2 linked regions of the Danio rerio genome follow. The protein of the gene in region 1 purifies or fractionates together with the protein of each later gene. This does not show direct contact. Links are inferred from orthologs where the notes say so. Each region holds a gene or a part of one and is shown on either strand. Other genes may lie near its edges.

The links.
Region 2: the proteins of josd2 (region 1) and ahcyl1 purify together in Homo sapiens (affinity purification with mass spectrometry; 4 studies listed by BioGRID and IntAct, counting the BioPlex papers as one, with this or other methods). This does not show direct contact. The link is inferred for Danio rerio from reciprocal best matches to the Homo sapiens genes JOSD2 and AHCYL1.

The regions. Positions count from the first base shown.
Region 1 is NC_133191.1:14,041,559-14,045,491, forward strand, and holds the start of josd2 (josephin-2), read left to right. Parts: upstream 1-878; 5' UTR 879-1,060; intron 1,061-1,200; 5' UTR 1,201-1,207; coding exon 1,208-1,329; intron 1,330-3,933. UniProt on the Homo sapiens protein: Cleaves 'Lys-63'-linked poly-ubiquitin chains, and with lesser efficiency 'Lys-48'-linked poly-ubiquitin chains (in vitro). May act as a deubiquitinating enzyme.
Region 2 is NC_133183.1:26,876,713-26,880,545, forward strand, and holds part of ahcyl1 (S-adenosylhomocysteine hydrolase-like protein 1), read right to left. Parts: intron 3,145-3,833; coding exon 3,056-3,144; intron 2,161-3,055; coding exon 2,090-2,160; intron 1-2,089. UniProt on the Homo sapiens protein: Multifaceted cellular regulator which coordinates several essential cellular functions including regulation of epithelial HCO3(-) and fluid secretion, mRNA processing and DNA replication.

The sequences.
Region 1 (3,933 bases):
TATGGAATAAAATATGCAAAGATATATACATAAAAAAAGATTTTTAAAGCTCCAACATATATAATATTAATCTATTATTATTATTATTATTATTATTATTATTAGTAGTAGTAGTAGTAGTAGCAGTAGTAGTAGTAGCAGTGGTTACTACAACTAATAATAATATTAATAAAACATTAATGTTTTTGACATTTATACAGTTTATTAGCACACAGTTTACAGTAATGTCTAAAACTGAAAAAAAGGGTTTGAGTTTTTATTTTGATCCCTGGATGACTTTTATATATTCGTATCCTTCATTGCAATTTGATTATTTAGTTAAGTTTCGTTTAGTTTAGTTTAGTTTAGTTTAGTTAATTTGTTTACAGGGTCAATGCACATTAATAAACATTACTGTAAAATGTGCCAGAATTAGCCAAGAATGTGTAGACCCCTTATGGAATGTTAAAAAGTCACACCTAAAATAGAAGCACAGCATTAAACATGAAATAAACTTTCATATATAAAATACAGTTAAAGTAAAAAAGACAAGAACAGACTGATGGCAGCAGAAGAGGACAAAAAGCCAAAGACAACAGTACAAATGTGTCAAGAATACAGTACTAATGCTGACAATGCTGATTTGCCAATAACCAATTTTTAACATGAGATTGAAAAGAACGGAAAGTGAGTGGTCTTCTAATTGTTGGTGGGATGGAGTTCCAATCCTTAGCAGCTTCCACTTTCACACAAGATCATTTTTTATGTAATTTTATATTTTATTTATTCGTTTATTATTCTTTATTATATTTTTTTGTAAAATGAGGGTCCCCCTATGGAGCGGCCGTGTGAACTGCAGCATGATCGCACGGGGCGTTCCCTCAACGCGACAACAACACAACTTCCGGCTGATCCTCACGGACAAGAAACAGGCGGCGTTCCCCTTTCACAGACCGCAACAGATTTCGTTAATAACAGCTTAATATTGTATGTTTAATGGACCAGTAAAGATCAGTTTCGCGGTACGTGTCAGGAGCATCAGTGGATAAATCGTTGCACTGCGGATTCAGTCTTCCAGAAGGTGAGATGATGATGTTTACGATGATGATGATGATGATGTATCCAGTCATGTGCTGTCAGCTTACGGGAACGCGAGTACATAACGTGTTTTTGGCCGTAATTACATGTTAATGGACGGTCTGAATGTGTTTGTGATGGCAGGGTGAGCATGAGCGAGGGCGAGGTGTTTCATGAGAAGCAGAGACTGGAGCTGTGCGCCATCCATGCCTTGAACAACGTGCTTCAGGAGAGAGTTTTCACTAAAGAGACCGCCGATGACATCTGCAAGCGGTGAGCGCGCGCGCGTGCACACGACTACAGTAACTTAACTGAAAGAGGTCATGGCATGGATTTTGTAAAATCATTGTAACATTTAAATTGAAGGTCACTTCTACTGTTAATATCATGTTTACACACACCACGCAAAAATATGTGTAAACAATTGAAGAGTTCAGATGCAAAACCCTCTAAATAAGGGGTCACCAATCTCGTTCCTGGAGGTCCGGTGGCCTGCAGGGTTTAACTCCAACTTGCCTCAACACACCTGCCTGGGTGTTTCAAGTATACCTAGTAAGACCTTGATTAGCTTGTTAAGGTGTGTTTGATTAGGGTTGGAGGTAAAATCTGCAGGACACCGGCCCTCCAGGAACAAGTTTGCTGATCCCTGCTCTAAATCCATCAGACCTCTTTTTTTTTTTTTTTTTTTTGTGAATGAACATTTCCTACCCGGCTTCTGATTGGGTTCAGAAGTTTCATTTATTGATAACGATAGGGTTATTAGCTAGTAAATGCAATATCTTTTTGTTTCAAAATGTCACTTTAAACATTTCAAAATTAGTTTTTTTAGCAAGGTCAATTTTCTTTTGCATCAAAACTAGCTAAATCCACCAGTGCTTTTTTAGCAAAACATACGGTGGCCGGGAAGTGCAAAACAACATTAAAGTTTGAAACACTTTAACAAAGCTCGAGACAAATTTACATTTTGACAAACATGTTTACCTATCATCAGACACAATTACATAGAAAAAAACAATTTTACCAAGGACAAAACAAATGTACATTTTAGAAAACAAATTAACATGACGCAAAACACTTTTACAAATCCCGAAACAAATTTACAATTACAGATTCCCTACGGAAAGGGAATGTACCACACCCCGAAGTGACATAGAATGTACCACACACCGGTAGTGACGCGGGGGAACGTTGTTGTTGTTGCTGGTGTGCGCGGTAAATTCGCGCTGTGGAGTACATGGCGTAAACAAAGTTTATGGTGACCGAACATGGACTGCGGTCGAGGGTTGTTTTGCCCGTTTTGTGGCAAACACTTGTGCAACTTAACACGGTTTTGCTTTGCGTGTGGTCGGTGTTTAGAGTTTATAAAGGACGCGGACCAGACCGAAACGCCAGACATGCTGCATCAATGTGTTTAATATTTTTACGAGATCCCCTCGGTACGCTGTAATTATGAACATGATGTCAAGTCTACACGGTGTAAACCTCTGCTTGAGGACTCTTAACGGTAAACTGAAGGAAGCCTGTGTTATGGTTTAACTGGTGTCCGTGTTAACTGAGGCCCCTTTTCAGATGTGCAAACTATCCACGTTTGCAGATTAGCAGATTGGTCACTTTTTCACAGCAACAAAACATGCCCATACCGAATAAAGATTCTAATTACTTGGTGTCAGTGTATCATTGTTGATTTAATATTTGTGTGGCAGAACAGCATAAACCAAAATTAATCTAAAGAAATTATTATAATTGACATGTCATCAACTGGATTTGAACCCAAGTCAATAGGTTCTACATGAGTATCAACCGACTTATCCAACTGAGCTACTCCGGTGTACAGGTTGAGATTGGTTTTGGTATCTTTATCAGTCAACATGTGCTGTGCTTTAAATGTTTCCATGGACTTGCATTTCCATGTTTTTATGCACTCTCACGCTGATATTTTCTCAGAATAGCTCTAATTTATTTTATCGCAGTTAGTCAAACCATAATTTTTATAGTTGTAGACTTGTGGAAACCTGTCTACAAAGTCACACAGTGTGTGTTACATTCCGGGTCAATACCGGTGTGTGGTACATTCTACGTCACTTCCGGGGTGTGGTACATTCCCTTTCCGTAGGGAATCTGTAATTGTAAATTTGTTTCGGGATTTGTAAAAGTGTTTTGCGTCTTGTTAATTTGTTTCCTAAAATGTAAATTTGTTTCGTCCTTTGTAAAATTGTTTTTCCTATGTAATTGTGTCTAATGATAAGTAAAAATGTTTTTCAAAATGTAAATTTGTCTCGAGCTTTGTAAAAGTGTTTCAAACTTTGTAATGTTGTTTTGCACTTCCCGGCCACTGTAAAAAACCCCTAAATCCACCATTTGAGACAATACAGTGTAGTTAGTTGAAAATCACTAAAAATGCAATTGGAAATAATTTTACCAAACATAAAACACCTAGAATTAAAAATATATAAATCTGTCAAGTAAGTGGTGGTTCATTCCGCTGTGGTAACCCCTGATAAACCAGGGACAAAGCCGAAGGAAAATGAATGAATGAATGAATGAATTCTGTCAAGTAAGAGCATTAATCAGTAACATTAACACTGACATTAATTAAATCTTAACAAGCTGTTGTCATTTCTGATATTTGGGATTTAGATTTAATGTAGATAGAGCAATGTAAACATAGGAAAATAAGCTTGTTAGGTTGAAATAATGTAGTGTAAAAACATTATGAAACATCAATATCTGTGCATTGTCTGTTAATATAAAACGCTGATCAGACATAAAGGTAATATAAAGTATTATATCTTTTAGAAAATAGCTTACATTAAAGGGCCATGAAACCCCCTCGTTTCATCAGGGTGTTTTCACACCTCTACTTTGGAAAAAGTCAGA
Region 2 (3,833 bases), on another chromosome or scaffold:
ATCATTAAAAATCCCATGGCATTTTTCGTAAAGAGTGTAACCCTGGTGTCCTGGCCAAGTTCCTTGCATTGGCTCTTACTGGCCTCCCAATCATCCCCATCCACCAAATTGGCTCTATCACTGTCTCTCCATTCCACCTATGGCTGGTAAGTGGGGATTGCACTAGCGTCAATGTCCTGTGGCTGCCGTCGCATCATCCAAGTGGAGGCTGCACACTAGTAGTGTGGTAGAGACCCTCCACCCATGATTGTATTGCGCTTTGGGTGTATGGCCATACACAATAAATGCACTATATAAATACACATTACTTATTTAGTTACTTTTACAATATTACTGGCAACCAAATTGCCAGTGTTATTGCAAATTTTGCATCATTTTTTTACAGTGTTTAGAATGTCCAGTACTTGTCTTGTTTTTGTTTTACACACACACACACACACACACACACACGCACATTTACAAAGTTAAAACAGGCTCGGTTCTTTATGTTTATATATATATATAATATGAACATATTCATAGTAGAAAATATTTGTCAAATTTAGAAACAAATCATCAAAAATGTTGACAGTGGATGGCAACTTTAAAAAAAAAAAAACACTGGTGTGAAAAGAGTTTCAGCAGGTTGTAAGGCTTTTAAAGACATTTTAAAGACCATTATGATTGAGTTTTTTCACTTTTACAGGGCTAAATGCTAAGGAATTTTTTTTTCGAATAAGCCAGTTGGAAAAGATTTTCACTTGCCCTATCAAAAAAATTATTTTAATTTTATACATTAAATCATACATTAATAATAAAAATTACAATTTAAAAATAAAAATAAAGGCCAGGTCAGTATCCTCAGCTGTAAATATAGGGATAACTTTTAAGCAAATTTTATGGTGAGGAAAATAATTAAAAAATAAAAGTAACAAATAAAATGATAAATAAAAAAAAGTTTTATTGAGATTGATTGTTGGTGAACAAACATAAATGAACAAAAGAAAATTAAGACCTGTTAAGACCTACAACACAACATTTCAGTAGATTTAAGACTTTTTAAGGCCTAAAATTTAGTTGCTAAGATTTAGGACATTTTAAGACCCCACAGACACCCTGAGAAGAGTTCAAATGTTACCAAAGTCCACTTATTATGAGCAATGATTATTTGATGTTTTTTTTTTTACTTTATTTATTATTTATTTGTTTAAATGTATGATAATTATGATAATATTTTGACTTGTGGCTTATTATATAATGATTAACTTATAGAATTTAAAATATTTTTTAAGATATTCAAAATATCCTTGTATCCTTCTTTTTTATTATAAATTATTATTTATATATATATATATATATATATATTTTTTTTTTTTTTTTCAGTTTTTGTTTGTGTACTTGATGTTAAGTGTTGGTGTTTATTGTGTTAAAGGTGTCAATCTTGTTATGTGAGGCACCACTATGTCCGAATAAATTGCCCCAAAGGAATTAATAAAGCTTTAAATTATATATTAATCCATTAATTAATACAAATATAACTATTAATTTTCCCAGTGATGGGTTGCGGCTGGAAGGGCATCCGCTGCGTAAAAATGTGCTGAATAAGTTGGCGGTTCATTCCGCTGTGGTGGCCCCAGATAAATAAAGGGACTAAGCCGAAAAGAAAATTAATGAATGAATAAATAACTGTACATTTTTTGTTTATGTTAAAAATAAATGAACATAGCATTTTTTATTTGAATAATGTATTGTTAAATGCTGACAGTGACAATAACAATTAATAAATGGTTTATTATAGTATAATATAATAAAAAATAGAGAAGAAGTCCTGTTTGTCAATCATGTTAACTCACTTAATGTTACCAAAATGCTGTTTTACCCTTCAACCAATTAAAGAAGCAGGAGTTCAGTTCTCTCTTTATGACTAGCAGAGACTCACAACTTGGCAAACATGATTTTTCCCCAGACCACTTAAGAGATCAGTCGTAGCTGTCAAAGGCCCAACCGTTTGACAGCAGCTCAGGGAGGAATCGTTTGTGCTGATAAGAGCTGCATTTAATAGAGGAAATGGATGTGAAAGTGGAAGCTAGCCAACAGCAAGCAGACGTACCCGTGCAGGTGATGACCATGTCCATTTGACGAACCACTTCATTCAGCTTCACCACTCTAAAGCCGTCCATACTATAAAGGAAATAAAAAAACAAATAAAAATTAGCAGATGTGTTTAGATATTGCTGTGCAAAGAAGATTTTGAGTTCCTATTTGGTTTGCTGATATGCTGATATTATTTGTGGTAGATACTAAGAGAGACCAGTTTACACAAGTTATTTGATACAAAATTGTTATGTGTTACAGGGTAAACTGAATAAAGTATATTAACTAATAATTATCACCTTTATCACTGAATCACTGACTCAAATTATTCATTCCTAATTTCATTTAGGAACAAACCCTTGCAATGTTGCTGTGAGACACAAATGTTCGCTTCAGATTTGTTTGAGACTGTGTCTGAAATGTAACTCATGCAGTATTACTGTCTTGTTTGTTAAACTGTTGTATAAAACAAGAACATATTTGCAACTAACTAATAACTAGTAACTAATAACCTTAACTTTACCGAATTAGATTGTAATGGAATAATGTGCACCTTTTGTAAAGCTGCTTTGAAACAATAATTATTCTGAAAAGCACCATACAAATAAACTAGAATTGAATTGAATTGACTTGGAGTTGTTTCGAATACAAAGAGAAAATAATAGGCTATAGATTATTAGATTAGATTAACTGTTTAAACAAAGTATTTAAAATGTGTACACATAATTATGATTGCATTAATTAGTAATAAAGGCAAATGACACTATTGAGCTTGCCATCTGCATTTTTTAATTATTTAAAATTGTGTACCTTTTGTATTTAATTATTAATTAAAATAAATTATATTGGCTAAATATCAGCCACCCTGCTTTCCAATATTGACCTTCAGAAAAAAAAATATCGCATGACTACTAATTTCAATAACACCGCACTTGTGTTTAAATGTAGATTTCACTCATTCTTGAGGGTCTATTGGTCTTACCAGGCTTGAAGAGCACAGATCGGATCGATCTCCGTCACACACACTATTGCTCCAAGTGCTTTCAGAGCTGAACAACAACCTTTCCCCACCTATACCACGGTCAACACAGAAACACAGCCAAACACAGAAACGTCATTCCATTCTCTGTGCTTTTAGAAAATAATGTCTGTCTGTTTTGAGAAATTACAGCTACAGTACAGACACTACAGGTTTTTTTTTTGTCTAATTTAAAGAAAACACTCAAAATATGTGATTAAAATTTTTTTTATCACACTTAAAAATGTGTCTGTGGATGTCAATTACAATATATTTCCGTAAAGACTTTTTCTCAGAATTATTTTATTCTCCTCCACTGAGCCATCAATCTCAACTTCAGCGCAATTTGCAGTACACACAACAAACTTCACAATTGTAATCATCTGTATCCAGTACTCCAAATGTTTTTACAGATGGATATGTTTATACATAAACTACCTGATTATTAGAACATTTTATTCTACAAGATAAAAATCCATTAGTTACTGACAGTTGTACCATTAACTAGCATGGACTAAAATATTTTTTGCATTTTTTAAAATCTGATTGTTATAACCTTTCATTCGACAAAGACATGAGTGAAAGGATTGATAGAGAAAGATTACTAAAATCCTATAACCTTAGACTCTCATTTGTCAAAAACATTAAACCTGAGTTTTGAACTGGACATCATTTAATGTTAAAAATTTAAGCTAGAAATGTATGCATATATGGACACATTTATTTAAATAAACCATTGTTA